4 linked regions of the Arabidopsis thaliana genome follow. The protein of the gene in region 4 interacts with the protein of the main gene of each other region in a pairwise test. Each region holds a gene or a part of one and is shown on either strand. Other genes may lie near its edges. The genes, in order: HHP4, AT3G17020, UMAMIT27 and AT1G33080.

Region 1 (7,114 bases), on a different chromosome or scaffold from region 4:
TTCAGACTTCTTTTTCTCTTCTTCATAGGTCACAAATACTTCTCCACACTGAAGCATACACCATGGTTTGAAAAGCAGAACTGATTCATCCTCTCTTGATATGTAAACTTCATAGACCACAAAAGAAGATTCAATCTGTTTTGATGCAGAACACAAACAAAGCAGCAAACTAACCCAGTAAATTCTAAGGATTGGTTGCAGTAACAACATCAATCATACGAAGCCATAGGAGAAAACGGATCTGGATTTGAGTTTATGGTTTGAAAGTTATGGCCAAAATCCACGACAGATCCAAAAACATGTCGACCTGCGAGAGACCAACTTTAAGAACAATTTCCAAACAATCCACAAGGAACCAGAACGCGATCTTTATATCATTGGAAAGATCTTGCTTTCAGGTTTTCAGAACATCTTTCAGAACTAAAATCCAAGCTAAATAGCAACTCCAAATTAACAAAGACAGAGTTGATAAACGCCACTTCATCTTCTTCTCATTCTTAGCCAATCTTCATATTCATCATTATGATGCTAGTTCTTTTCCCTCATGTTGATTATGTGTTTCATCCAAGGATAAATTGAAGCTAGGAAACACACAATCAACACAGACCAAAGGTGCTTATTAACCCAAGCAAAAACTCCACGCTCCTCAACTGAGATCAATCTCAATCATCACCTCTTTTAACCAAGCAGGCATTCTTCTAAACAGAGAAGACAAAACACAATCTATTTCTCGTCAACCACTTGAGAAACAGCCTCTTCTCTTCTTTTGAACATGAATTTCAAACCAGATCAAGCTTCAAGAGTAGACAACAAAAACAACAACTTCCTCTCTTATCGAGAAAACCAAAATTATAAGAAATGCTTTGTATCTAGCCAGAGCTTCTTGCAGAAAGACGTCATCATTATCTACATGAGCTCTTGAAACCTGCAACAAAGACACACAAACAAATTCGATTACAACAATGTGGTTTGGGACAAGAAGCTGACCATGATTTTACCTGATAGTAAAACGGGCCTTGTCTCTTGACAGCTGAAAGTCTGAAACAAGATCATAATATTTCTCAAGCGCTGAACTAACACAAGTAAGGGAATGGAAGTGAATACTTGTTCTATAGAGGTACCTTGTAATACTCCTCGTTTGAGCAGATGGGCTTTTGGAGGTTGGAATCAAAGGAAGCATCGGATTTGAGGGGGTTTACGAACATTCTCTTGGCTATTTCGAGTTGATTTCTCTTCCAAGTTGTGTCGTCTCCATTTTTGTTGTTACAGTGGCCGAGCTTTTTGTTTTCACAGCGATGGGTTTACATTGGTTTTGAAATTCAAATTGATCTCGGTTCGGTTTAATTTGGTTTAGAGAAGAAAACCAAAAAAAATACGACACGCGATGGGTTTTTGAGAATGAGGTGCGTGGATCCAAAAATGCATGATTTTTGTGGATTAACCCCTTTAGAAATCGTAGACACGCGCTCAACGCGACATGAGTGAGAGTGGCTGTGAAATAGCACGATTGGTAAAAGTGGGGTATGAAGTGGAGCTCTCTCATTGGCTAAAAATATAAAAATAGTAGGGGAGCTCCTCCTCTCATATATTGAAAACAATAACAAACACTTATAAATGTTCTGCATTTTCAGAGTAAATTTTATTGATTTCTGAATTTTTATTGATGTGCATAGATTTTGTTTCATATTTTGTGTACTTGTAGTTTATCAACACTTATGGATCATTCGAAATGTATACCAATCAGGGGAAACCTTCAAGAAGAAGATCAGAATCAAAGTATCCTCTGCCATGGAACAATTAGGCTTGTGTCAGGTTCACAAGGAGGCTATATGAGGTTGACACTGGATTATGATACTTTGAATGCTGCAATCAAGACTGGAATCATCTAAAAATATGAATCCTTCAGCTTCTTTAACCAGTAATACATATGTGGATTAACAATATAAATCCTTTGTTGAATAAAGGAAACAATTAAACGTTTGATTACATATAAGACTTTACATAATCCAACTTTTATATGAAGCTACTACAAACAAGATTCAAAGATTCCATCTAATCTTCAATCTTCATCTTCAACATCCTTCAATATCTCTCCACTTAAGATACACTAGCCCAGCTCTATAGTGCGTGAACGCACCAGCAACAACCAGAACATGAAACAACTGATGGCTATGTCCTGCTATATCGAATTTACCCGGCATCCATCTCTCTGGGATCCTAGTTGCATAAACCAGAGCTCCTAACCCATAAAGCAAACCCATCAAAATCTCATAACCTGTCGTGTGAAGGGCTTCAGGTTGGTCCCAAAAGATTATCAGCTTGTGAAGAATCGGAGCTAAGCCAGAGAATCCCATTCCAAAGAACAGAGACGCCCTCACCACCCGAAACTCCGGGCTTTGGAAAACCGGGAGGAGAGAAACAAGCACAGTGGCGATTCCTAAGATGGTTATGAATCCTAAGTAGAGGTTGCAGAAGAAAGGATCACACATGAAGGAGTAATAAACCGGAGGGTAGAAGGAAGTCGCTATTAGAGCTGCGATGCCGGCGTAATCAAGCCTAAGCATTATGTAGGAGACTCGCTCGGAGTGACATGAGAGGAGGTGGCACGTGCTGCTTGCTAATAGACAGAACATAGCACCACCTAGAAATGCATAAAACGGCCATCGAGTAATTGGCCTGAAGATCAAAGGAGCTATCAAGTTTGCAAGATCTTCCCTCACAGAATGCTGCAATGCAATTACAAAGATATGAACTTGGCCACATTTTGAAACAGTAATCTGCAGGAATAGAGAGAAAGATTGAGTCTTTTCTTACCAGAACACACATGTCAGTGTAGTTGCCATGAGAAAATCTTTCAGGCAAACAGTTATAAAGAAGGTCCATCACATGCCAACTAGATGGACTAGAAGGAAGGCGAGCCATGAGCTCAGAATGAAGTTTGTGGAGATCTGTTTTCCTCAACAAATCGGGTAAACGGTGTTGAAGCGAATGAAGATCCACGACACTCGGTACTTTCGTTGCAGTGTATATAGTGAGCGCCAAAAACAGGAAAAACCCAATCAAGTGCCTGCAAATCCCAAAGAACACACACACACAAACACACTCAAGGCTCTTGAACTTTAAACAAGGATACATCAAGAAACATGATTCAACACTTACGTCCAAACATTCAAAGTCTCATTATGAATGGTAAAGATGCTGAGAAGAATCTGTTTGATCGGCCATTCGGATCGGTAATGACCAATGATGTACTCATTGTCTCTTAAATAAGCAGGCAATGAATGAAACTCCACCAATTGATACTTGACTTTCTGCCATAACCTCTTCCCTTTCACATTATGTTTCTTGTCCATTGTTTCAGATGAAGCTTGTGGCTTTAAATGTTCCTTGATCTCTGCCTCATCACCCATTTTCTCTCTACTCATAAACAAACCAAACCCATAATATCAATCATACAGATCTAAATCTAGCTCAATCTGAATCATTCCAAGAAGTTAGGAATCAAAGTTTCAATTTTGAACGTTTATGCTAAATCTTGTTTTGTTCTGGATAATGAAAGTATCGATTTTTATATGCAGATTCAGCTCATTCATTACCTAAAGCTTCAATCCATAAATGGATTTGAGAAAATTACCTGAATTTCGAAAGACAAACCCTGTAAGATTTAAGAAATTGAGAGATAAGTAATTAAGAGAATTATGAGAATTTTTCTTCGATTTCGTGAAATTAGGAGAGAAAAGGTGAGATTTTGTTACCTGGATCTTCAATGCCGACGAGACAAAATCTTCTAAGAAAGATCTCTCTCTTTCTTAAAAGTCAATCAAAATAGATCTCAAGGTTTCGTTTTTGTCGAAAACAGAGAGTTCTTGTTTTGGTATGAAATCGAAGAAAGAAGAAAAAATAGAAGACGACGATGGAAGTGGAAGCTCTGAAGCCACAAAGCTTTATGAATTTTATATATTTTTATATATTTCAAATTGGGACCACTAGTTTTGTTTTGTTTATTAGTAGGACCCTTTTATTTTTCTTTATTTTCGTTTGGGCTAAGAATTTAATAGCTAGAGTATTTATTGTACGAGGATGGAAATACATCAAACAGAGAAAATGTTTTGTCGAAAATATTAACAAATATTTCTCCTATGAAATCAAGTCTTTCTCAAAAAAAAAAAAACTTATTTGATATGGGGAATTTAAATTAAGGGAAAATTAATTTAACATACCATATGAGAGCAAAAAATAAAAAATAAAATAATTGTGCTCCATGGATTCTTCTTATTAATGATTAAAATTTTCAATTAGGTGAAAAGGAAAAATTTATGATTGTGGCACATTTATTGCATTTAATCATCTTTCAACTAAAAATGGAGATGTCTATTTATGGTTTTGTTTATTTGGTCGGATTTCTTTTTTTTTTTTGTATAGAAAATATTGACAACGAATTGAATTTCAGTTCTAGTTTATGTTTGGATTTAATTTTAAAGCAAAAACTATCTATCGTTAAGAATTTTCCGAAATAAAGATTCACATTTCAGAAGATTTTTTTGTTTTGTTTCGAGTCGGTTTTGGTTATTTTCTTACATAAAATACACAGAATAATTCGAACCATAATATTGAATTGTTATTTTGGTTCACGTACGTTTACCGTTGGAGACTTTATAGCTCTTCGTTTATGCTTGTACGGATCAATAATCATGCATACTTAAGTATTTGGAAAGAAGAAGAAAAATAAAAGATTTTATCACAACATAAATAGTAACGTGAATTGGCATAAATGAATCGCAACAAACAGGTCGCAATCACAATGATAAAAATATCTACTGGCACTACTTCATAAGGAAGGATCTTGTAAGAATATTACTTTCGTTTTATTCGGATAAGCAGAAGATATTCGTTTTTTTTCTGGCTCGTTTTTTCACCTATTCAAGTTTTATGTCAATTTGGTTACGTACTCCAAATTGTGGCACTTGTAATTTGACACTCTTTATCAAAGTTATCACTTATCTTACTTGCCAACGAAACTAGTATCAGTATTCAGAGCCATTAATACAAATCAATCAAATCTTAGAGGAAGAACTAAAATGATGTACATAAATTGATGTTTTAGTTTTGCCAATTAGCATAAATAAATACTTTTAAGAATCTTTTCACATTTTTTCTCTAATAAAAGTGAAACATACACATTAAATCTTTTCACATTTTTTCTCTAATAAAAGTGAAACATACACATTAGAATCAGTTGTTCACCATATATAAAAAGGCTCGCCAAATTAAGATCTGGACATACTTAAAATGGGATTGGGCTGGTAAATATTCTAAAAACATTCCTTAAAAAGCCCACTCTGATAAGTCCGCGACTTCGAAACTCCGATGCAGACCGAAATTGGTTCTATAGTTTGGGAGAGAATGACCAGACCGGTTCAATCAATTTTCCTTCGATGGACCCAACCGAATAACTTCCATGTGGGGACACAACTTAAGCTTGTAACGACCAGACATTCAAAGAGTTCCGTCAAATAGTAATAGAGAAAGACTAAAGAAGAAAATATGGAAAAATAAACAATAAATAATAATAGAAAAAGACTATTGAAGAAAATATGGAAAAATAAACAATAAATAATAATAGAAAAAGACTATTGAAGAAAATATGGAAAAATAAACAATAAATAAAATACCTACTTACCGTGGGTCCCACTACGGTACTACTGCCGCCTTCTCCGACCGTAATCAGCCGTCACCTGCCGGTTTAGTTACAATAACAATTTAGTATTTATTTGAATTCTTTCTCTCATCGAAGTCTAAGGAAGATGGAGCGAGGAGCTTTAGTGGGTTCTTCTTCTACTTCTAGCTACTATGTTCCTTACCACTTTCGCCAATCAAAGTCGAATTTTTCGTCATTCAAACCAAAAAATAAGCTAAACCCTACTCAATTCCGGTTTAACTGTTCATGGTTTAAGCCGGTTAGTTCTATAACGGCGGCGAAATGCAATATGTTTGACTACGCGGTGACTGCAGCCGGCGATGTGGAGGCTGAGCATCCAGTTGACGACAAACAGTTTGTGCGTTGGTTCCGTGAAGCATGGCCTTATCTTTGGGCTCACCGTGGCTGCACATTCGTCGTTATTATCTCCGGCGAGATCATCGCCGGCTCTTCTTGTGATGCCATTTTGAAGGTACCGTCTTTCTTCACCGTATTATATACTTTGATTTATGAGAAAAAAGCACGCAAGGTGTTCGATTGTTTGCTTGCCTCAACTAAAGTTGTTACTATTCTTATTTTGCTTTGTTATATGATCTTTTCTTTGCAATGTGCTTGAGTTTTCAGTTCTCGTATTTGAGTAGAAGGTGAAGTGATTTGATATATGTGCAGGACATAGCGTTTCTTCATCATCTAGGAATAAGGTTTGTTTTAGTTCCTGGAACTCAGGAGCAAATCGACCAGCTTCTGGCTGAGAGAGGTCAGAATATTATAAGCTTTGTCACGATGTTAGATTCTAGACTATAAACCTTGCTAGCGTCAAGTAAATGGTTTGGTTAGCTACGAGTCTAATGCTGTGTGAGTTGCAGGACGCGAGGCTACGTATGTGGGACGTTACAGAGTAACGGATGCAGCATCTTTGCAGGCTGCTAAAGAAGCTGCAGGAGCAATATCAGTGATGCTTGAGGCCAAATTATCTCCTGGACCTTCTATTTGCAATATCCGTAGACATGGTGATCGTAGTCGTTTACATGATATAGGTGTTAGGGTTGATACCGGTAACTTCTTTGCAGCAAAAGTGAGATTTTCCACTTTTTTTATTGTTCATACGACCTTGAGTCTTATTAATGTCGTTCATAATGACCGATGATTATCTTGGGTCTTGTTGTGGCAGAGAAGAGGTGTTGTTGATGGTGTTGATTTTGGAGCGACTGGTGAGGTAAAGAAGATAGATGTAGATCGGATTTGTGAGAGGCTTGACGGTGGTTCTGTAGTTTTGTTGAGGAACTTGGGCCACTCGAGCTCCGGAGAAGTCTTAAATTGCAAGTATGCTCGCTCTTCTCCAGAGAAAAATGCTTCTTCCATTAACCTTAGAAAGATTAAAGTTTTCTAATTCCACTTTACTTCTGCAGTACCTAT
Region 2 (6,722 bases), on a different chromosome or scaffold from region 4:
TTCATTGTTTGTTCCAACCAGAGAGCGCTTCCTTACAGCTTCATAAGCAAAGTCTCTGAGAAAGACTTCTCTTACAAGATGGTTATAAGAGCGCAATGGGGAAAGACATGGGATGTAGAAGTCTCCAAGAACCCGACATACTACTACATTGAGACGCGTGGATGGGATCTGTTTGTGAGTGACAATGCTTTAGGACAAAACGAGTTCATTACCTTCACTCACAGAGGAAATATGGTCTTTCATGTCAACATCTACGAGCAGAATGGCTTAGAGATGCGTAAACCTCGAAAATTCCAGACGATGGGTCCTTCTAGTAAGCTTTTGTGCTTTTAATGCTTTCTTTAAAACAGAGAATATGAAGTTGAAGAAGACTAATTATTTTACTCTTGATGATTGATGAAAACAGGTGGGATCAAGAAAGAAGAAGGAGAGAACAGCCTCATAGATGTGAAGAAGGAAGAGGAAAGTGATGAATCTCCGGGACGAGCTGAGTTCCTAGTTAGAAAGAAGAAGACTGAGGATTCCAAATCATCAAAGAAGAAGATGACGAGAAACAAAGTGAAGAAGAAGAGCAAGAGCAAGAGCAAGCAAGTGCTGGATGGTGTTCCAGAGTTCAAAATCACCATAAGGAAATCATACCTCAAGTTCCTGGTAAGATTCAAACCATAAGACAGAACCAAAACAAGAACACATCTCTGTATATTGGTGATAATGATTTTCTGGTTTTTATGTATCAGGCAATACCAAAACATTTTGTGGATGATCATATCCCGAATAAGTCTAAGATTTTCACGATTCGTCACCCGAATGGTGGTTCATGGAAGGTGCTTTGCTTGGTGAGGGAGATTCGGACAATCTTCTCAGGTGGATACTCGAAATTGGCAAGAGAGTTCCCTTTGATGGTTGGTGACAAATGCACCTTTAAGCTTATCAAACCCTTCGAGTTTGTCCTTCTTACCTCCAAGAAGAACAGAGAGAAGATGGATCAGTGCATGATCGATTGAGGAATGAATGTTAAGTGTCTTGCTTTCTTTCTCTATGGAGACATTTTATGTATGTTTTGCGTGCTTATTAATTTCGCTGAAACTCTTTAGCTTGTATTTCCTGTAGAACTACTTATGTCCTGAACTTCGTTGTAAGATTGTTATGCTAACAAAACTATCTATGTTGTTGTTACTTGTCAAGTTTAATTCCTCTTCTCTTCAACCATAAAAACAAATGGACAAATCATAAGTTAAAAACACATTGATATGAGTGGAGTTTGGTCCAAAAATCAAAAGAGTCTGTATTTATTAGAAGGTGGAGTGTTGTTTATCCATACAGATGAACAAAACACCAGTCACACAACAGTTAACAATAGAAATTCCGACCACAAAAACACAAATTATAGAATACACGGTGGTGTTATTTAGAGTTCTCCGAGCAAACTCAGATGTGAGCCTTGACAACGGTCACAGGGCATGCAACGTTGTTGACAACATGGTTGCTTACACTTCCCATAATCATCCTCTTAAGACCACCAAGGCCTCTGTTACCCATCACAAGGCTTGAGAGAGGAATCTGTTCAGCTGCTGCACAAATCTTCTCACGAGGATCTCCCCAATATATCTTCATCACTACTGTAATCTGCACATGTTTCACAACAGTTGAATTTTGGTTAAATACAGAACCAAACAATTGTGGTAAAGAAAGTCACATTCATATGGATTGACAATGTTCACTTATTAGTCACAACTAACAAGGCAACATAAAGCTTTCAATGAACTTCTGAATAAAACTATGATAGATGTAATGTAACATATTCAATGTCAGTACCGTTACAGGTTATTCAATAGAGTATAGTCCCACCAATCCTCAGATTAATTTGTCTAGAACACCAGAGATAGACCATTATTTTGTACAAGTTATCGGTACTCTTCAGTGATGCATATTCATAAACTATCCGCAACTGGAAGATCACCATCTTTGGGAATCATAATCTTAATACTCTGATTCAGGTATTGTTATGTGAACATTAGTAAACTAAAACTGTTGTAAGCATAAAAGTGTTTCCAGTTGCAGAGAGGTTTTATGGATTATTCTTTCATTAAAAGGGAAAGAAGAAGTAGCTTACCGTTTTCTTCCTAGCGGCAGTATTGACAATGTCAAGGGTTTCAGCATCTGGCTTCAATGCATACTTTTTCATCACAGCAGCGTCAGAGAATTCACTCATAGGAATAAAAGCTGAAAAGTTACAAACACAAAACCAGAGTCAAACAACAACGAGATCATTAGTAGGAATTCAAACCATAAACTTGGGAAAGAATTAAGATGATCATGAGCAAAACACGATCAACTACTACTTCAAATAGATTCTTTCCAAATTTAAACAAGCAAATCATACAGAACCAATTATAGATCAAACGATGCATAAGTAAGTCAGGTTCCTTCAACAAAGGTATGCAAGATCAGACAAAACCGGAAAATCATAAGTTAAATCATCAGCGATCACACCCAATTTCTATATCACGTTTCCAGGAAAACAATATAAAGGTGAAAAGGAATTTGAGAGAGAGAGAGAGAGAGAGATTAAGAAGGTACGTGATCCAACGGTCTCCCAGAGCTGCATCTCGCCTTCCTCGTAATTCATATCGTGAGCAATAGTGATTAGGATCAGATGATCTCCGTCGCGAACCACGTTATCGATCGCCCAGCTCAGAGCCTTCTTACTGCAGTCCGAGAAATCCACCGCCACTCCGATCCTTCGTCCACCACTCTCCGCCATAACTCTCTCTGTAGGTATACTTTTTTCTCTGAAAGCTGATTCTCTCACTCAAAGACAAATGGGTTCTGATGTGGAAGAAGGGACTATGTATTACTAAGGAGATTGAAATGGATCAACGATTAATAATTATTAGTTATTCGCTGTAATGCTGTCTAACGATACAGAAACATCATGGCCGTTGAATGGAGTCCACGACCGATCGCAGCCTTACGATTAAAATAGCTCAAAAAAACAGTGGGTGGAAAATATCTTCACGGAGGCAAATGTAACGGACAAGATAAGGGCGGGGTCTGGGCCCACCAAGTTTTTCAACACTGTCCAAAAAGACAAACAGACATTCACGTTCTTAATTCAAATAGTCTCTCCACTAGTTTAGTATTTTAAAGACGGTCAGAGTCTGTTTTTTCAACTAATCATGACAAGTAAAGGAAAATTCATGGTAGCTTCAAATCTTGAGAGCTCGTGTGATTTCCCAGCAAGTGTCGTCCGTTTCATGACCGGAACCCAAATTCCGGCTACCGCTGTTTGCTAAAATCACTAGAAACCATTCGTTCTCCAATGAAGACGGATACATTAGCTGATCATCCTGAACCACCAATAATTTTACATTGCTTCTTTTATTCATTCATTTTACCGCCATATATTAGCTACTATTATAACCAAATATATATAATAACAGATTGCTTTGTTACCTCTGGGAGGTCACAGAATTCATCAGGAGATATTTGAAGTATAGCTGATGCAGACTGACCAGTACACCACGCGTATAGTTTGGTTTCCTCGTCTGCAAGTGTTATCGTTATGTGGAATGTTCTCACTACTTCTGTGTTACTGTTGCAGCTTACTCGGCAGAAACTACAATGCAGGTTCGCTCCATAAGATGATGATGATTCTTCATCTATGAAATGGCCGCAAAGGCTATGAGCTAGTCTAGTGTTGATGTTATGGCATTGGTCGATCTCATCCAGCTTAACCCGACAAATCTGTCCAATAAAGAAAAATAAACGAATTATCCAGACGTGCAAAGGAAACGCCACATAAAGCTCTGTGAATCATTTAGAGAGCAAGACGAACATTTATTGCAGGTTTTCTCTGTTTTGATATTTGGGAGAGAGTGGAGATCAGGTGAATACAAGAAGAGGTCAGAAATGCAGGCAAGCAGCTAAGGTTTACGAATGTAGCTTTCTCGTCTTTCTCATGCCATAACATCTCAATGCTGCTCAACCCAAAAACAAGAACTCCATTAATGTTTAAGCTAAAGCAATAAACCAATACCTACTGTTACTTATTGATAAGTATTCAGTTCATGTTTGAGCTAAATCAGTTTCCCAATAGCGATGGATCCGTAGTATATCTATCAGTTTCAAAGCAAGAGAAACGGCTTACCAGTTCTCTTTTGTGATTTTGCAGGATAACCCAGACACGTACACGACATGACCAAGCCCTAACCTTCCCAACGACCTGGAAACCATATATTATATATGGTTCAAATTTCTGTTAAACAGAATGTTAAAGCCTTCAAATTTCTGTTCAGATGTCGTTTCGAGATTCATGAAACACGCTTATACCAGTAATTGGTAAAATGGAGCTTAGCCCATATTGCTCCAGTTGTGTCCTCGATCTTCAAAGAAAAGACCACTCCTGTGGCGTTTGGATCACATGAAATGTCTGTTACAACCCCATAAAGACTGATGCCAGTCGTTTTGTCACGAATGTCCGTTATCATCGTCTGCAGAACTTCAACCAAGGAGAGGAATATTAGCAGATGCAGCTAAGACATAGATTTTCAAATAATAGCCAGAGCAGGCTTTACGTATAATCTCCTAGGCTTACAAGGCTGTAAATTTCCAACAGAGATGATATTGTGCGCCATATAAAAGCAAAACTGTAAGACTTATGAATGCATTTTGGTGCTATGATAAGAAAAACCAATAAATGGTATGCATATGAATAGGATCTGTAGCGATATGAACCTAGATTCAGTGTGAACCTATTAACACGGAAGTGATGAAGAACCTCCCTATTGCCTGATTTCTAAACACGGAATTGATTAAGAACCTATGAACCTAGATTCAGTGTGAACTTTACAAATATCAATTACCATAACCATCAATTAACATCATGCTTGAATAAATGGTATCTTAACTTCTACTCACCCGAAAAGGATAATTACTGAAGTCTACAGACCCATCGGCATCACGAGGCAATGTCACCTGTGAAACTCCGACTGAACCAAGCAGTTTAGATCCTTGACACTGATGTTGTGACAACGCTACACAAACCTGAAGAAAAAAAAAACAAATCAATGCAAAAATCTGAACAGAAAAAGGAAGCAACATAAAAAAAACTTCATTTACCCGTTCCTCTTGTAAGGTTGATGGCACTAGATAGAGATGTGTTGCGCTACCGTATTCAAGGCAGAACTCATAATTTCCTTCCATTGCACTCTCTTCGAGACTAGAAATATAAGGCCTCTCAATCCCAAGCACACTTCCCACACTGAAAATGAATCTATAAGAAGGGGTTGGTCGAAAAATTTAAAGGTAGAAGCACCCAGCCAGGAGCTTACCTCAGAAGGTTTGCCACAATGACTTGCTCTCCCCACAAGATAAATTTTAACCTATCGCCATCACCATCTACAAGTGAAATTTGCCTTCTACGTGCAGTACTAAACGTGAGTTCAGATTCCAGAGGACCTATAGATTCAATTCTGCTCTCAAACAAAGAGGGGAACATGAAATATTACTTTAGAAGTTAAGTCATGGTAACCACTCAATTTCTCAAAACATATACTTTTGTTATGGGGTACTTTACGCATATTTCTACAATTTTACTATAAAATCACAACACTTGGAGTTATACTAGGCATTACTTCCAAAAGGTTTTGATCTGATAAAAATAATCACTGTATTAGTATTTGAAGTTTCTTGAATGTGTTTGCAACTAGGAATGTGAATAGTAAGTTACTTTTACCAAGATTGGTAGTAAGATTGTTTACCCACATATTCTCTTACCTAGCATACAGAGAGTAAGAAGCTCCATCGTTGAAAGCATCAAGAGAAACAGATGAGAAAGTATCGGAACAAAATTGAGCTGCTATGAGGATTGCATCATCATCTTGGTCCTGTGGTATTTGAAAGTCAGGTAAAGACTAAACCACTCTTTTTCATATAAACTTCGCATGAAAACTGAGATGTGTTAGGACTAACTACAAGCAAATTCAATACTGCAGTTCTAATTTCTCTTTCAAAAGATTGTCAGAAACCAAACCTCATCTAGCAATACGACAAGATACTCAGTTGGAAGTAACCGTGGAGTGCCAAATCCTTCTCTCGCGGTACGAAGGTAGCATCCAGTGATCAAAACTTCTCTGCCTTTCCGAAGAATCCCATTTGGTGTTTCCACCAACTCATAATACCTAGACAAGAGACATTAGATCCTTAAGAAACTCTATACAGACATCATAAACTTATGACAAGCAGTCAAACTCATCTCAATCCGAGATGATGATAATTCACCTCTACCGAATAAGCATACCTCCGATGTAGATAGAGATCAATGGTGTTGGAGCTCCAAAAGTCCCCTAGTGTAAGCATGAATATGTTTGTACCTGAAATAGAATTTATGTTTTAAATGGATAACCACCAACTTGGCATCGTACGGCAGGGGAAATGAATGTGCTGCCAGAATTTGTAAGATACCAGGAAGAACATCGGCATTGATAATAACAGCTTCCAAAACGCTGTTCATGGACAAAAAGTTCTTCTCATAAATGGAGTCAATTGTAACGGTATTAGCGAGTCTTCTTCTTCTGTGACCCTTCTTCAACTGATCTATAAGTTCCGGCTTCTTCTTTGACATTCCTGGTTTGTTTTGCTCATGCCATGCCTACAACAAAAACATTCAGAGAAACATCCAGAATCGACTACAGAATGTAAATTAACAAATTCAAAGCTAT
Region 3 (7,197 bases), 8.1 Mb from region 4:
GGAATTCGATGAATACGATCCCACGCCGTACGGTGGTGGCTACGATGTTGTTGCAACCTATGGAAAACCTCTTCCTCCATCGGTGGAAACTTGTTACCCTTGTTCAACCGCTCCTCACGCTAAAGCTCCCTCTCCTCCTGAGATTATTGCTCCTGTTCCTCTTGGAATTTATGATGGTGGTCAAAAGAATGTTGTCAAGAAACGTGTGTCTTTTGCTGAACCGGTAGAAGAAGTCAAACCAATAGAAACCATTAAAGAGCAAGAACAAGAACAAGACGAAGATTATGATGAAGAAAGTGAGGACGAAGATGATGGTGATGATGATGATGAAGAAGAAGAAGAAGGGGATGAGGAAGCTAAAGAAGAAGAAAAAGATCACAGTTCAAGCTATGGAAATGAGGAATATGAAGTCGTAGATAAAGGAGAAGTGAAAGCTTTGTATGTTCCGTCTGGTTACGGATTAGAAGCGACCGATCTCTGTGAGGTTATATTTGGAGGTTACTTTCCTTGTGTGTTACGTAACAAAAGACGTCAGGAAGATGAACAAGATCGTGGGGCTGCTGTTTCTTGCTGGGAAAGCAACGATTCTGATCCGTGGAAGACAACTTCCGATCACCTTTTCGGGGATTCATATCCGTACGGTTACGAGAATCGGAGCGAAAGAAATCAGTTCGAGGTCTCCTCTTATGGTTACCGGATGTATTAACAACCCTAGTTATCATCAGTTGTGTCAATGTGAGGTAAGAACAACATTCTTTTGATTATTGATGAACCTGATTTTTTAGTATCTGTTACACAAGAGATGAGATTTACTGTTGTATAACGAGGAGGGGTTACTTAATAATAAAACGTCGCACGCAAAATCTATCTTCAACCTTTCTATTTGTAACATTCTCTTTAACACGTTTGTTTAAAATCTAAAATCTTTAAATACTACACTCGATGTGATAATTGATTACTGTATCCATCGTAATTATTATTGGTATATATACATTTCTTTGTGAAAAACACCAAATAAATGAAAGAATTGTATCATGGTATATCTAATATCTATCACTGTGAGTACAAGTGCAGAAGAAATTGTAGAAGTAGAAAAGTCAACGATAAAGATGAATTAGCTGAAGTTGAAGAACACTCTAATAAGTAATAACAAACAATGAACACCATGGGGGTTCTTGATTATCTTAAATGAAAATTAGTACCCGATTCAAAAGAATATCATTTTTTTGTGTTTTTGGAAACTCTTTTGAGACGTTAACATGTTGACTAATAAATTATGTGTAAATATACTTTTTTGCAGAAATTATTTTTGTGGATGTATAACTTGTTTACCTGAGCATGTAAGTATATGGAATTTTCAAAACTGTACTACGTATAGACAATATGCAAATACAGAAAACAAAACAAAATACCGTATTTACACGCGATATTAATAAGGTTCAATGACATGCTACTTCTTAACTAAAACAAAATTTAAAATGATTGATGAAAGCTTTACATGTGCGTCATGGAGGCTTAACTTTGTTTTGAGACGTCTACTTCTTTTTTTTTATTCTTATCCCTTTCCAATTTAGTTATATGTAGTATAATCAGATTAATTCACCATATATAAAACCCTTTTTCAAAAAAAAATAAAAAAAATTATAAAAGTATAATAATTATTGAGCTGTTGGTTATACTGTTTTAATTTCATCGAATACTTTCTCTGTTTTGTTTTAAATGATGATCCAGAGAATTTTGTTTATCTTATTTCAAGTGATGTTTTCAAAAGTTTAAATATATTTGATTGTAACCATTTATATAATAGAATATGTTTTTTACTAGTTGAATTAGTTTTATTTTAACAATTTATATATATAAAATAAACAAAATATTTTTTTTATTATTTCTTAATTTATGTGAAAAACTTTAGATATGATTTAATATGAAAAGATAGAATATATTATATACCAATCTTGTAAATTTATTCTAGAACTAAGTCAAAACCACTAACTTTTCTTTTGTGACAACTTTTTTATAAAAAAAATTTAACATCATTAGAACCACTAACTCAATTGTTATTATATTTGGTGAATTGATCTAATTAGTAGAAGGAATATATATGTCTGCACTACTGGAGAGAAAATGCCCCGTCCATTATGTTCTAAGCCTTTTCTAGATAACTTACTGAATCTAAAAATAGCATCTGCTTTTTGTCCCTACAAAGTTATATGGACAAACTAAAGGAATGAAAGAGTTCGATATACCCAAATGGGGATAATATAATTTTTTCATCAACTTTAAAAGTTCAAATATAGAGCTAATTATACGCATTTATAATTAACAAAAACGAGATAGTGCAAAACAAGATGGATCCAATGAAAAGACAAAAGAGAATAATTAATGGATCGAATATAATTCAAAATGGGCACAAAACAAATTTGCACGCAAAAAGTTATTGAATGAGAGTTGCAAAATCTCATATAGTACTTATTTACTACATATGATTAGTTTATCTCGTTGAAAAGTTCGTGTTTTTTCCTATTTTGCACCAAATTCAACAAATCCTTGAGTCAGTCCAATTACAATTGAAAGTAAAGAACCCAAACTTGAACCTATACGACCAGACGGAGACGGGCATGCAAGTGTTTAAGTGTCATTAGATTACAAATGTTTAAGTGTCATTAGATTACACGAAGTATAGATTTAGATATACCAACTAGCTCGGGTTTGCATGACTTATTTTTTCTCACTAAACTCAGTTACATCATCTCTCCGACTCTCTTTTATGAAAATCATTTTGCTAATTAATAAGGTGCGCGGCAGATAACACGCATGATAAAGCCAATGTATCGGTTTCTCATTTACTCATATAACGTATAAAATGGAAAAGCTAATTCATCGGCGCCTCATGAAACGTGTGATAAAGCCAATGTATCGGTTCTCATTTCTACTATATAATAAATAAATAAATATAACAGTAAATATACACATATTGACCGGAAAAAAAAAAGATTGTTACCGCATGAGCAGTTATATTTGTGACGACTTCTTAAACTTAAGTATCCTACTAATTTTGTTCTTTCATTAGTTAATAATATGCTCGGGTTTGTAGTAGTGCTTTGTTCTTCACAAACGCTTATCCTATATAAAAAGAAAGTTTTTTTAGACCAGAAAAGTAAATAAAATTAAGCTAGTTGTGTGTAGGAACATTCAACTTGTTCAAATATTTGAACTATTTTGTAATTTATAATTTTACATAATGTGGAACAAGATTCTAATATTATTTAAATTGAACTTGACAGCACTAAGTTTTTTATTTATTTATTTTTGATAGAAAGACCACTAAGTTAATATAATAGAGCAATAATTCAGGGGTTTTTTCTATTAAAATGACAGAACCCAAACACAGTACTCTTTCTTATAAGTTATAAATATGGGAAGGGTGGTTGCCAAACTCAAAGTACTTTGGGTCTTAACTCTTTCTAACACACAAACTCACATAGAATTCAAGAAAGAGAGAACGAGGGAGAGATGGGTGAGGATATGCGAGGAGTGAAAGTAGTCTCAAAATGGCCACCGATGATAGTTATGGTGACATCACAAGTAGCGATGGGTTCGGTGAATGCACTTGTGAAGAAAGCTCTTGATGTTGGTGTGAACCATATGATCATTGGTGCTTATCGAATGGCTATTTCCTCTTTCATTCTGGTTCCTATCGCCTATTTTTTGGAAAGGTTTATTGATATTTTGATGAAAATAGTTGAGTTATATATTTTTCTTATGCAAAATTTTCAAAAATTTGATTATATCAAAATAGTTTTTTCATATTTACATAATTAACAACATTTACTACAATTGAAGATTGTCAGAATGCTCTATTATAACATGTAAATAAACACCACTACATGTTACTAATATATGAAGTAGATTGATATTTTCTTTCCCCTAAAGTTTATGTCTTATTGTTAACAGGAAAATAATACCGAAAATAACGTTTAGGCTAATGGTCGATCATTTCATCAGTGGTTTGCTCGGGTTTGTCTTCTCACAATTTCTTATGTTCTTTTGTCGTCCATTTTCCATTTTCCTTTTCCATTATACATTGATTGTTTCCACAGAAGAAAGATTTTCTTTCAAGTGAGCATAAAATCTTCATAAGCTAGCTAAATTGTTTTTAATCTTAGCTTAGTTTTGGGTTTAAATTTGCAGGGCGAGTTTGATGCAATTTTTCTATTTGCTTGGTCTGTCCTACACGTCAGCAACTGTTGCGTGTGCTTTGGTAAGCTTGATGCCTGCAATCACCTTTGCTTTCGCTCTTATTTTGAGGTAATTATGGAACCATCTAACTTCTTTATCATTAAAATAAGTACTGTATTTACTATTACTATGCAATGGGTTCATGCAGGATTTATTCGTATTTGTTATGTATACAGTGCATATAATTTCTTTTGTTTTTTCATCAAGCATATTATACTTCTATATATAGAAATACTCAAAAGAACCTTACTCATAAATTATCTCAAATTTATCATCTAAAAGGTTATATTACTTTTCAGAACTGAGAAGATAAAAGATCTAAAGACCCAAGCAGGAATGATAAAAGTGATGGGAACTCTAATATGTATAAGTGGAGCTTTGTTCTTAACATTTTACAAAGGCCCTCATATATCAAACTCTCACTCTCACCTAGAGGCTCTTCCTCACAACAACAGCGATCACAACACCAAGAATTGGCTTCTTGGATGTCTCTACTTAGTCATAGGAATCGTGTTGCTATCTCTATGGATATTGTTTCAAGGGACTTTAAGCATCAAGTATCCTTGCAAATTCTCAAGCACTTGTCTCATGTCAATTTTCGCAGCTTTTCAATGTGCTCTATTGAGTCTTTACAAGAGTAGAGACCTTAAACATTGGATCATCGACGATGGATTTGTGATTGGTGTCATAATATATGCTGTAAGTTATAATACTATATTATCAGAAATCTTAACATTTTTATAAATTATAATGTAGTATATATGTAAATAATTAAATAAATTTTGGGGTTTACCTAATATTACCTTATTACTATACACGTATTATAGGGAGTGATAGGACAAGCAATGTCGACTGTAGCAGCGACATGGGGAATAAACAGATTAGGAGCTGTTTTCGCATCAGCAATTATGCCAGTTTCTCTCATATCGGCTACTCTATTCGATTTCCTTATCTTACACACTCCTTTATACCTCGGAAGGTGCTCTCTTCGATCATCTCTATGAAATTTTTTGTATAGCTTTATAGATGTTAATGTATTAGGTTCATGCTCGTATTACTAATTACAATTTATTTTGTAACTTTTGCTATACAGTGTGATTGGATCAGTAGGGACAATAATAGGTCTCTACGTGTTCTTGTGGGGTAAGAACAAAGAAACGGAAGCAGACATAACTACATTGTCTTCTCGGATGAACAACGAAGATCAACGAGTCTAGGTCGCCCATTTAATCAAATAATATTGTTGTCATAGAAAGATTCATATGGCTTCATTGTCGTAAATTAGTATTTACTACTGAATACATTTACCGTAAAGACCAGTCATAAATATTTAGATTTAAATTGTGCAAGCACACTCACGTTAAAGACCAGTCATAAATATTCAGATTCAAATTGTGCAAGCAGTTTGTATAATTCATACTTTTCGTTTGCAGATTTATAATTTCGTAAAGAGATAACAAAACAGATTTGTTATAATATTCAAAACTAACCAATATAAAGCATATATGATATATCAAAACATTTCACAACAGATCTGTTAAAAGAGCCTCGTAATATTGTTTTTAGTTTCAAAAGCTCTGTTTCTTGGATTATTTTCGTGCTGATTTTAAATGTGTTGCGTTTTGAGTTTGTAGCCTGTTGCTAAAACAGTAAGAATTTAAGGTCTAGAAAAAATAAAGACCAATTGTAATTAGTACTACTGTATATATATTATGCACTACTGGAGTGAAAATGCCCCGTCCATTTTTTCTAAGCCTTACCTTAATCTAGAATAGCATCTGCTTTTTGTCCCTACAAAGTTCGACGGACAAAATAAAGGAAGGCAAAATTTCGATACCCATATTGGGGAGAAACAACTATATACTAATACAGTATAATTTTTTTCATTAACTTCTATATTGAAATGTATAACAATTATTATGTGCATTATAAATAACAAAAACGAGGTACTGCATGGATCCAGTGAAAGGACAGAGCGTAAAAGGGATCGAATCCAAATTGGGAACAATAAAATGGAGAATTATTGAATGAGAGTTGCAAAAATCTCATATAATTATGATAACTTTTTCCCATCATATCGAATCAGAATTCAATATGACGTGGTCATCGTAGATGGGGAATTCAGTATAATACTTTAGTGTTTATGTGTCATTAGATTACACTAAGTATAGATTATACCGACACTGTTTTACTTCATTTGCATGACACGGGTGATAACGCCAATGTATTGGTGTCTCATATAACGTATAGAATGGAAAGCTAAGGTATCGGTGTCTCATGGAACGTGTGATAAAAGCCAATGTATCGGTGTCTCATGCATTTCTACTAAATATAAAAGTAAAAATAATACAGTAAAGGCAATCGTCATGTATATATCGCAACACTGACCTGAAAAATAAATAAAAAATATTTTACCGCAGTAATTATATTTGCGACAACTTCTTAAACTTAAAGCTAACGATTTAATCCATTACTCAATAAGAATATGCTCGGGTTTGTGCTTTGTTCCCTCCTCACAAACACTTATCTTATATAAAATAAAGTTTATTTTTTAGATTAGTCTTAACCAGAACAACAAAAAAATATATACAAATTAATTAGCTAGTTGTGTGGGTGGGAACATTCAAACTATTTAAATATTTTGACAAAAAAAAATTTTATTATTTTTTTTTACTTTTCACACATAATGCGGAACAAGATTCTAATATTATTTAAAATGAACTCGAGTAGACACCACTAAGTTTTTTTGTAAAAAATGTTTTTGATAGAAAGACAACTAAGTTAATACAACAATTCTTCAACTCAGGGTCTTTTCTATTAGAATTAGAGAACCCATACACACATGTTTCTTATATATATAGAGGAAGGTTTGTGGTTGCCAAACTCAAAGCACATTGGGTTTCAATTCTTTTTAACGCACATACACCAAATGACATAGAAAGAAAGAGAGGACGAGAG
Region 4 (9,809 bases):
CTAGGCATAACTATCTTGGAACGGAAAACCCATAATGTGCTATTATAAATTTTTCGTCTCATAACTCGTCTGTATATGTGAAATAAAATACTACCAACCCGTTATCCGTAATCATCACAAATAGAATTTGTGTCACAAAATACATACATGCAGAGTTATGTGTGTAAATAATTTTTTTATATATAGTGCTCATAACCCAAACTCATACCCGTTGGATATTTAATTTGATGTTTAGTTTGGTTTCATTTTTTTTTATATATAGTGCTTCCGTCTCTTTTCATGTCGTTTGTGTCTCAAAATTCCTATTTTCATTTCATTACATTAAAAGTATGTTCCAAAAGTCTTATTTTTTTACCTTTAAATATCATGTTATACTATATGACTGTGTTTTGTGGATAAACATATATGATGTTAAGGTTTACAAATATATCATAAGTTAAACACACAAATATCCTTTCTTGATTTTTGTTCCTTCTTCAAATTCAAAAATATAAATAACATTTTAACAAATACCTTTGTAAGAAATTTAATAATGTTTATTTCCTTAGCTACATTTTTCAATATTCTTATTTCCCTTGTTTAATCATAATTAATTGGATTTTTGAAATATAATTACATTTTGAAATACACCCATAAAAGCAATCTATTATTGCTGGATAATATGTTTTGAATGAAAAATGTATAATTATTTACATTATTAAAAAAAGTTTGTGCAATAATATATTATGGATTTATTTAAAGAAATATCCGGTTGAAAAAAAGAAGAAAAAAACCCCCAAAATATATGGAAATTAATATGTATAATTTCTTGTTTAAATATTTCTAAATGAATGGCATAATGATAATTAGTTTAAATTAATTATTTTTAGTTTAATTCATAGTAAATATAAATCTTTGTTATATCTAATCTTGTTTTTTAGAAATTGTGAAATAATTGTTTTCATTTTATATTTCAAAATACTTAACCCAAAATTCTAAAATTAAATTTATTTATCTATCGCAAATTATGATTTTTATTAATGGTATCAAGCAAGTTTTATGATTTTTTAAAAAAAATAAATAAAAATTAACTTCAAAAATGTTAGTTTAATAAAATAGTATAATTGGATATCAAATCTTAGTTTTGCAATTCTTATTGGTTAATAAATTTTAAGAAATAAAGTTTAATTTTTCGTCCATAATTAATAGGAAAGAGAAAGTTATTTTAATTTTGGGAAACTAATAATTACTTTAAAAAATATTACAATTTTTAATTTAAATCTATTAATTTTGTGATTACTATTGTATCCTTAATGAATTTATTTAAAAACACTAACAATCAATGGCATTCTATGTAATATTCTACCCTTCATAAGGTTGTTTATTTACAATACTTCCCAATTAATAGTATAGATTTTGACATTGAAAGAAAAATAGTTTTAAATTTTATACTACATAAAAAAATTTGGTGAATAAAAATTCGGTAGAAGAAATGTTAAAATAAGAAAACAACGTATATTTTGTTTTGAAAAATCATAATAATGAAAAAATAATTCTACCTTTATCTGCAAATCTATAGCATAGCCAAGAAAAATTCGAAACAAAATGCTAACAAAACAAAATGGCTTTGATTTGTTACGACAGCTTTATAATAGTTACACTAGATTTTTGTTGTAGTGCTATTTCTTTCTTCTTTGATCTATATCAGTATTTGTTTACCGTTTTTTCCTCTCAAATTTTTTTCTCTAAGAATGTGCGATAATTGGTTTGCCACTTGAAAGCTCTTAAAGATTCCTAGTTTAGTAGGTGAAAATGATCACTGAGTTAAGGACTGATACTTTAGTGGTCCAAATTCGTTACCACTTGTTTCACATTTACATTTTACGCAAGTGTGTACATTCGAGGGTGAAGTAGAAATTCAAAATTCGAATACAAACTCAAGTTTTACTTCAATCTTCACCATCATTCGTTTTGTAAAGTTTGGTTTCGACTTGGGGATTCTGGTTCAACCCAACGGTTCAAACGTTTCAACGACGAAGACACCTGCATTATTTATAACAATAAGGAGTAATGTATATATACAAGTCAGTTCTTATATTATAACCAAAAAAAAATACTTATAATTTTCTACTAAAAATCCAATAATATTCGATTTGCAAACCTGTTGATCCCAGTCTGTTCTCATAGTCATTACTGTAAGCACGCAAGTCTGAACGAAGATTCCGAAAATCATTCCTAACCAAACACCCTAAATTTTATATTTAAAAAAAAACTATTTTATATTTGTATATACAAAATTAAATTAAAAAACTAAAAAGAAAATATTAATAATAAAAATTGAGACTTACTTTGACTTGTAAACCAACGACATAGCCAAGAAAAAGACCGGAAGGAATTCCAACAAGGTAATAGCAAGCAAGGTTAACGACCGTAACATATTTCTGCCATCCCGCTCCAACAGCAACTCCTGTACCCATTTATAAATAAGTTCAACATGTTGTCTAGGGTTATAAACAAACTCATTCGTCACGTATTCATCATATAATGATAAATTGGTAACTCATTATACGTGAAAGTGACTGGATAGTGGATATATATCACACAAAACCCTTTCTACGTAAAAACCTATAATAACCAATTTCACATATTCAGTCAATGCATGAATATAGAGTGATCATTGAAAAATGAATCCCTACAACGTTCGATGAATTAATGTCTTATATATGGTAAACAATATAGGAGTATCGAAAAGGCAAGATACATACCAGAGAGAACTGGTTGAATACTGTTCAAGAGAATGGAGAAGGCCAAGAGTGGAGAAAGATCGGCTACTTGTGTGGCAACAGCTTCACTTGTTGTAAAAATGTATGAAACCCTTTCTCTTAAAAACAGGAAGATAAAGAAGAAGATGATTCCTATCGAAAGTGATGTCGAAACCACAACCATTGTTGCAAATTTGGCTCCATTAGAATTCCCACTCCCGATCTCGTTTGAAACTCTTACACTATTACAAAACATTATTACAAAATAAAATAAAAATATGAAGATGATTATAAGATATTTAAATAAAGCATGTGTAATCAAATATTTAGAATGACTTAATCAAGAAGAATATAATCAAATATATCTAGTATATACAATATATACGCACCTTGCTGCTGCCATGAAGCCGAAGGCTACCATCATCTCCAGTGCATTTATATTGATGCTGCGAAAATTATAACATATAATATTGAATCTAAGTGCCTATGATCAATCGCAAAAGCATTATGCTATTCCGCGGCTACCAATTAGCTAGAGAGTATAAGTACAATTGGTAACCTAAACCTATCATTTTCTCTAGCATCAATGTATATTGTTATGTAGACAATAAAACCAATTCTTTCTGTTTTCCTACGAACAATGTTCGTCAGTAGTGTTCCGTATGAAGTCAAAAATGGTAAAATGTCAGTAGCATTCAGACGAATGATCTAAAGATAATGTACAAATCGATCGTATGAATATAGCTTCAAAGACAAAAGACATAAAACTGATAAAAATACTTTACCAGATTGCAAGTGCGTTAAGAGCAACCTCAGCGTTTTTCAAGTTTCCCGTGAGCAGAATCAAGATCGAGTTGTACCATAGCTCCAAGCTGCCAAAAATTAATATCACCAAGCAAGTGCTATTATATATTATCATAATATATGTGTATATATATATATATTAATCATAGTAATATTATAACAATAATATTAATACTATTATAGTAATAATATTATTATACAAATACATAAACACGAAATTTTTCTCTATAACATTTATTCAAAATTTCTCAACCTTTGAGAAAATGAATGAATGTACTTGGCAGCTTTTCACCCAACGTGGCATTATATATAAATTAGGTGATCACCCGCGCTACGCCGCGGTTTTTTCGGAATTTTTCGTATTGTTTAGTTTAAATATAATTTTTATTTATCTAATTATTTATTCATGCAATAAGCAATTATTTTTAGTTTCAAGAATATTTTTTCTAACAACATTCTCAACAATGCATCATACATATAATTCATAAATAACGTTTGTATTAAACCAACTTAACAGAGGGTAGTTTTGGATTCTAGAAACCTAAGAATTTGATGATGGAGCTCCTTACGTATTCTTCACTCTCAGTGATTTATTGTATAAATATCAATTTAAGAGAATATAAATATCAATTTAAGAGAATAACTTACTCAAATCATTAAGTAATCTAAGACTATTATATAATCGTATTTTGAGTTTGGATTACAAAAAAAAATCTTCGAGTATGAGAAAACTATTAAAATTGTTTTATTGAAAAATCATGTAATATTAAAATAAATTTAGTAATACTATAATTAAATATGTAAAATTAAATAATAAATATATCATTAACCTATAAATTAGAAGTTGAAGAGCTTACATTAATTACTTAGTAGACACATGGCAAATGCTAAAGTGATGATGTGTTAATCATTTGGAGAGAGTTGGTCAACTTTTCATATATATGATTACAACCACATGGTCTACAAAAGTATTTGTATGACTAGTAAATATATACTTATGTCGTTGATGGATGTTGATACTTTTACCAGGTGAGAAGATTAGAAAATCATACCAAATCATGCCACCGGAAGATACAGATAGTTTAAAAACGGGCCAAAGATCCTTGAAAGCCAACCAAGAGAATCCTCTCCACGTTTCCGTACATCCACCGCATGTGACAAATAAAACCTGCGCAATGTTAGGCAACCAATGTGCTACGAGCGAAGAGGTCATGGCACCAGCGATCCCGAAATCAAAATGAACCACTAGAAGCCACGACAAGAAGACATGGACTCCTAACGAAACAGCAGCAACGTAGGCGATGATCTTGTTCTTACTCTGAGCTTGGAGGAACATTTGGCAAGTGAAGGAAGGCACAAAGGAGATGTTGATGCCTATGACCCATAGAGCTATGATCCGAGCCACACGAACAAGGCGTTCCTCTTGACCTAAAGCCAAGAGAATAGGGCCTGCAAAGATGTAGATGGGCATAAGGCAAATGGTACAGCCTGTGAGGACGATCCATGATCTTTGGAGGTAGATCCCAAGCATATGATATTGTTTTGCTCCATAGGCTTGACCACATAGTGTTTCTAGCGCACTAGCCATGCCTAACTGCATATTGTTTCATTGACGGTTCGTTATTACACCAAAAAAAAACTATTTTATGGTTAAATATTTTACATATTTTGCCTATAAAACAAGAACTAAGTAGGTTTGATAAACGCTTATATATAAACAACTATAATATTTAAACTTTAAACTTGGATATTGCATGTTGATAACTAAAAAATGTATATAACCTATAAACTCTTGTTGGTAAAGAGATCATATATTGTGTATTGAATTTTTTTGGTGTAACTGAATATATGTCCAATGGTCTAATAACATTTTAAAAGCACTATTTCATATTATAAATTCGAACCTCACACATGATATGCTAATTAAAGACCAAAACATTAAGAAAACGATGGCATTGGCAGGTGACCATTGGACATTTGTGGCCAATGACTCGCTATACTTCTTGACAATGTTATCTTTGTTGCACTATGGAGTACAAATAAGAAAAGGGAATATATTGTCTTAATATAAATTAATCTTCTGACTATTCCTTTATTTTTTTTGTCATTTCTTACAATATTTTTTTTTCACTTTTTATAAAATCAATATATTCTCCAACTTTTTTTTGGTTAAAGGTGTTTGTTATATTCTCCAACTTTCTAAACTTTATTCTATTTTGTATTTACCCACTGATTCTACTTAACAATGAAATGTTTTTGTTGCATTTCCAACCATTAATAATAATTGATGTAATAATCAAAACTCATGGAGTTTCAGTTGAGACTTGTTTATGTGAAAAAGGTAACTACACTAACAATAAACGAAGAGTATACGACCAACAATGCCTTCCAAACATTCAATATCTTATATACATAGAAATAGCATAATTTCATTTCATAAAGGCAAAGAGTTGAGTGGTTGTGAATTTTTATGATTGGTTGACAAATCAACCAAAACAAGTTCCCACAAGAAGTCTATCTAAGCATTCACGTCACCGTTTATATAGTACGATTTATATCATTCAAACTAATCAGAACAATCCTTAACATATATTAATAGTTATTAAAACAAAAAAAAATTGTTTTTATGTTTTACGAATTTGTAGTAAAGAGTGTGTGGAAGAACTGATCTAATCGTTATAGACTTATAGTAAACTCACCAAGATACCATTACTAAAACGGAGGAGAACGGTGAGAGTGATGGAGTAAGCGGCCAACTCGGTAGAGCCAAGATGGCCAATGAAAGCTTGACTTATCAAAGATAGTCCGGACGTGGAGAACCTCGTAAAGATCGCCGGCCCAGCCACAACCCATAGCTTTTTAGATTCCCTCCAAACCTTCTCCTTCATCCCTAACCCATCCCGATCTTCTCCGCGATTCTCCGTCGACTTTTTCAGAAGGGTCTCCGTCACTTCTCCTTCTCTTCTCGCCATAGCTTAGGAGAGAATGAAGAGAGAGTAGAGAAGGCATGGAGCGAGGAGAGATTTTTGTTTGGTGGGTTGTTTATTTACGTACGGAGGAAATGAAAAGCCGGCCTACACCTCTTTTTAAGATTCTTTAATTTGCCAAATTGGTATTTTATATGCAAAATGAATACTTTTCATAAATAAATTTTAAATAAAATTTAAAATTTGTCAAAATTACATTTACATTTATACATTGCATACCGAAAAAGACATAGCTAGTTTTGAACAAATCACCCAAAAAATGGGATGAGATAGTCGAAATATATATCACAGCGAGGTATGGCCTCTACAAATATTTTACCAAAAGTTGGTGTTTGAATAGACACATCTTTTATAACCAAACCAAATCCAATTAATTGTTGTAAGAGTTTAAGGTTTTTTGAAACGAACAAAACAAAAATGCAAACTATTGAAACACATCACACATCGGTGGTGGGGGTGGTGTTGTTGTTGGAAGGCATGTGACCGGTGGTAGTAAGACCAACGGTTGGTGTTTGGTGGTAGTTGTAGTAGTTTCCGTTCATGAAAAGGATGTGCGCATGCTCTCCAACATAACCCACTTGTTGATAAGGATATTCCATCAACATATTCATGAGTGGATCATGTTGAAACGGATACTAATGATTTGGATCCAAACTGAAATTATCATAGATTTCATGTTGGTATTGAATATGATAACTAAGACCAATAGGGATATAGAGCTGAATCGGCTCATACTGATTCTGATCCATCGGAAGATCGGCACCCGCAACAGGAAGAGGAGCTGCACCCGCACCCGCAACTGAAGTATGAAGTAGAGGAGGAACGGAAGAAGAAGACTCACCATTGTTTGTAAGGATCTTGACCCTGGAATTAAGCTGATTGATATAGTGATCAATATGAAAACTTAAATCTTGAAGGTCCCTTGCACCATACTGATGCTCACTTATCTTACCCTCAACACAATCAAACATAAAATGTGTAAGCTGAGTTTCTCGGTTTTCAAGACGTAGACGCTCCAGTTTCTTTGTTTCTTTGGTAATTTGGTTCTACAAGTAGGTCTCATGACTCATCATCAGCTTGGACCGTTCTATCGCCGGCCTTTTAATAAACATTAAAACCGCCTCTTAAACACCTTCGGTTGACGACCACACCACTGGATTCTCGTACGGACTGTAGGTTACCACACATGCTTTGACTTCGCAGAGAGTTGTCAACTCATGGAGTTTCTTCGTTATCCGTCCCTTCCTCATGGGCATGCTTGTGTTAGTTAGTTTCGACACTTCTTCCCCTATCAAGCTTACTGCAGTTCGTGTCTCTATGTTTGAGTTATGTATGGTTAAGCTTTTCAATTTTCGAACTTGTTACTCGGATTTCTCCGATGAAGCCTAATCTTCATGTATCTTTCTAATTTCAATTTATAAATTATGAGCACACAAAAAAAAAACCTTGAGAAAAAGTTGTGGAATTGTTTTGTTTTTCTGCATATAATTTACCAAATAAATAATTGAGCAAAACTTGAAAAAAACTTGAGAGAAACTTAGGAAAGTAGTCACAGCATTTAGTTATATATTTTTTATAAAGGTTTTCAATGATGTTATTTTTGTTATGTTTTTAATAAATTATGTATACTTTAATATTGTAAATCAAAATTTTCACAATTGGTTTCGTTAGTTTGCGTTTTGATTACAAAAAAAAAGAAAGATTAGTTAAGTTTTGTTAAAAATCACCAAAATATATAATAATTATGATTGATAAAACTTTTAAATATATTAATTTAAATTTGTACTAAAATCTACATTAACGTTTTATGAGTTACAGTTGACATTTTGGATCATTTTAAGAGTTTTTAGATAATGTTATTAACTTAAGAACATATGTTATATTCGTGTTTTAGGTAACCTGATTATATGTGAAATATAATAACTTTGAATTTCATCAAAATTCAACCTTATTTCTTATAAATCAGAAATATTCATAATATTTTGTGTTATTTTATTAAATAATAGTATTGTAGATACTTTATGTGCTGGAAACAAAATAATTATTAAATAAAGATATTGTAATAAATTACAAAATTTACTGAATTATTATTTGAAATATGAAATTTGATTGTGTATTATGTAATGTAATATACTTTTCTATTGTAAATAAAAAATCTTTTTCTTTTTGAAAAGTCAAAAAGCAGAGTAAAGTAGAAGATTTAATTCCTCTACATATAGCAAAAGAAAAAGTTTTCTTCTAAAATGACGTACGTTTACTTTTTTCTTCTTTTTATTTCTCTCGTCATAAATATAAATATATATTTATCAATATTAAAACTCTTTTAAAATCCCTTATAAATCTTTTAAAACCCTTTTAAAATCCATTGTAAATCTTTTAAAACCCTTTAAAAATTCTTTGTAAATATTTTAAAACTCTTTTAAAATCCCTAGTAAATCTATTTTCCATCAAAAAAATTTTAAAAAGGTTTTAAATGATTTACAAGAGATTTTAAAAGGTTTTAAAAAAATTTACAAGAGTTTTTAAAGGGTTTTCTTGTAAATTCTTTAAAAAAATCTTTTAAAAACCCTTGTACATCTTTTAAAACCCTTTAAAAATCTCTTGTAAATCTTATAAAACCCTTTTAAAATCCCTTGTAAATCTTTCAAAACACTTTTAGTTAATTGTTTTGATGGTAACTTCTTCTTTTTTCTCTAACGTTGAATTATTGTTATCTACAGAAGTTGGTGATTGACGGCCACACCACTGGATTCTCGTACGGACTATAGATTACCGCACATGCTTTGATGTCGCAGAGAGTTGCCAACTCATAAAGTTTCTTCGTTATCCCTTCCTTCCTCATGGGCATGCTTGTGTTAGTTAGTTTCGACACTTCTCTTGATCTCCTATGAAGTTTACTGCAGCTTGTGTCTCTAAGTTTGAGTTATGTATAGTCAAGCTTTTCAATTTTCGAATTTGTTACTCGAGTTTGTCCGATGAAGCCTAATCTTCATGTATCTTTCTAATTTCAATCTATGAATTTGGTGCACACAAAAAAAAAAAAAAAACTTGAGGAAAAGTTGTGGAATTGTTTTGTTTTGCATATAATTTACCAAATAAATAATTGAGCAAAAATTGAGAAAAACTTAGGAAAATAGTCACAGCATTTAGTTATATATTTTTTATAAAGGTTTTCAATGATGTTATTCTTGTTATGTTTTTAATAAATTATATTTACTTTAATATTGTAAATCAAATTTTTCACAATTGTTTTCATTAGTTTGCGTTTTGATTGCAA

Evidence for each region.
Region 1: the proteins of AT1G33080 (region 4) and HHP4 interact in a protein complementation assay, tested with the Arabidopsis thaliana proteins (one large-scale study listed by BioGRID).
Region 2: the proteins of AT1G33080 (region 4) and AT3G17020 interact in a protein complementation assay, tested with the Arabidopsis thaliana proteins (one large-scale study listed by BioGRID).
Region 3: the proteins of AT1G33080 (region 4) and UMAMIT27 interact in a protein complementation assay, tested with the Arabidopsis thaliana proteins (one large-scale study listed by BioGRID).

The regions. Positions count from the first base shown.
Region 1 is NC_003075.7:17,697,527-17,704,640, reverse strand, and holds HHP4 (heptahelical protein 4), read right to left. Parts: upstream 4,008-7,114; 5' UTR 3,756-4,007; intron 3,656-3,755; exon of another isoform or gene 3,635-3,655; 5' UTR 3,426-3,634; coding exon 3,160-3,425; intron 3,068-3,159; coding exon 2,815-3,067; intron 2,727-2,814; coding exon 2,073-2,726; 3' UTR 1,689-2,072; downstream 1-1,688. Other genes in the region: AT4G37682 (hypothetical protein (DUF1399)), read right to left, coding at 797-925, 999-1,038, 1,122-1,180; NAGS2 (N-acetyl-l-glutamate synthase 2), read left to right, coding at 5,805-6,170, 6,368-6,455, 6,565-6,773, 6,870-7,021, 7,108-7,114. UniProt on the Arabidopsis thaliana protein: May play a role in abiotic stress response.
Region 2 is NC_003074.8:5,801,300-5,808,021, forward strand, and holds AT3G17020 (Adenine nucleotide alpha hydrolases-like superfamily protein), read right to left. Parts: upstream 2,984-6,722; 5' UTR 2,765-2,983; coding exon 2,581-2,764; intron 2,224-2,580; coding exon 2,114-2,223; intron 1,989-2,113; coding exon of another isoform or gene 1,932-1,988; exon of another isoform or gene 1,627-1,931; coding exon 1,429-1,626; 3' UTR 1,237-1,428; downstream 1-1,236. Other genes in the region: REM22 (AP2/B3-like transcriptional factor family protein), read left to right, coding at 22-313, 407-651, 738-1,004; AT3G17030 (Nucleic acid-binding proteins superfamily), read right to left, coding at 3,210-3,350, 3,457-3,747, 3,839-3,980, 4,151-4,225, 4,333-4,493, 4,921-5,046, 5,122-5,263, 5,334-5,474 and 4 more.
Region 3 is NC_003070.9:3,849,804-3,857,000, forward strand, and holds UMAMIT27 (nodulin MtN21 /EamA-like transporter family protein), read left to right. Parts: upstream 1-3,380; 5' UTR 3,381-3,513; coding exon 3,514-3,716; intron 3,717-3,954; coding exon 3,955-4,017; exon of another isoform or gene 4,018-4,191; coding exon 4,192-4,308; intron 4,309-4,538; coding exon 4,539-4,938; intron 4,939-5,066; coding exon 5,067-5,218; coding exon of another isoform or gene 5,219-5,243; exon of another isoform or gene 5,244-5,332; coding exon 5,333-5,456; 3' UTR 5,457-5,704; downstream 5,705-7,197. Other genes in the region: AT1G11440 (uncharacterized protein), read left to right, coding at 1-706.
Region 4 is NC_003070.9:11,982,460-11,992,268, reverse strand, and holds AT1G33080 (MATE efflux family protein), read right to left. Parts: upstream 6,620-9,809; 5' UTR 6,518-6,619; coding exon 6,245-6,517; intron 5,140-6,244; coding exon 4,598-5,139; intron 3,614-4,597; coding exon 3,527-3,613; intron 3,188-3,526; coding exon 3,131-3,187; intron 2,984-3,130; coding exon 2,745-2,983; intron 2,447-2,744; coding exon 2,328-2,446; intron 2,228-2,327; coding exon 2,141-2,227; coding exon of another isoform or gene 2,072-2,140; exon of another isoform or gene 2,023-2,071; coding exon 1,942-2,022; 3' UTR 1,749-1,941; downstream 1-1,748. Other genes in the region: AT1G33070 (MADS-box family protein), read right to left, coding at 6,970-7,094, 7,188-7,485, 9,306-9,380.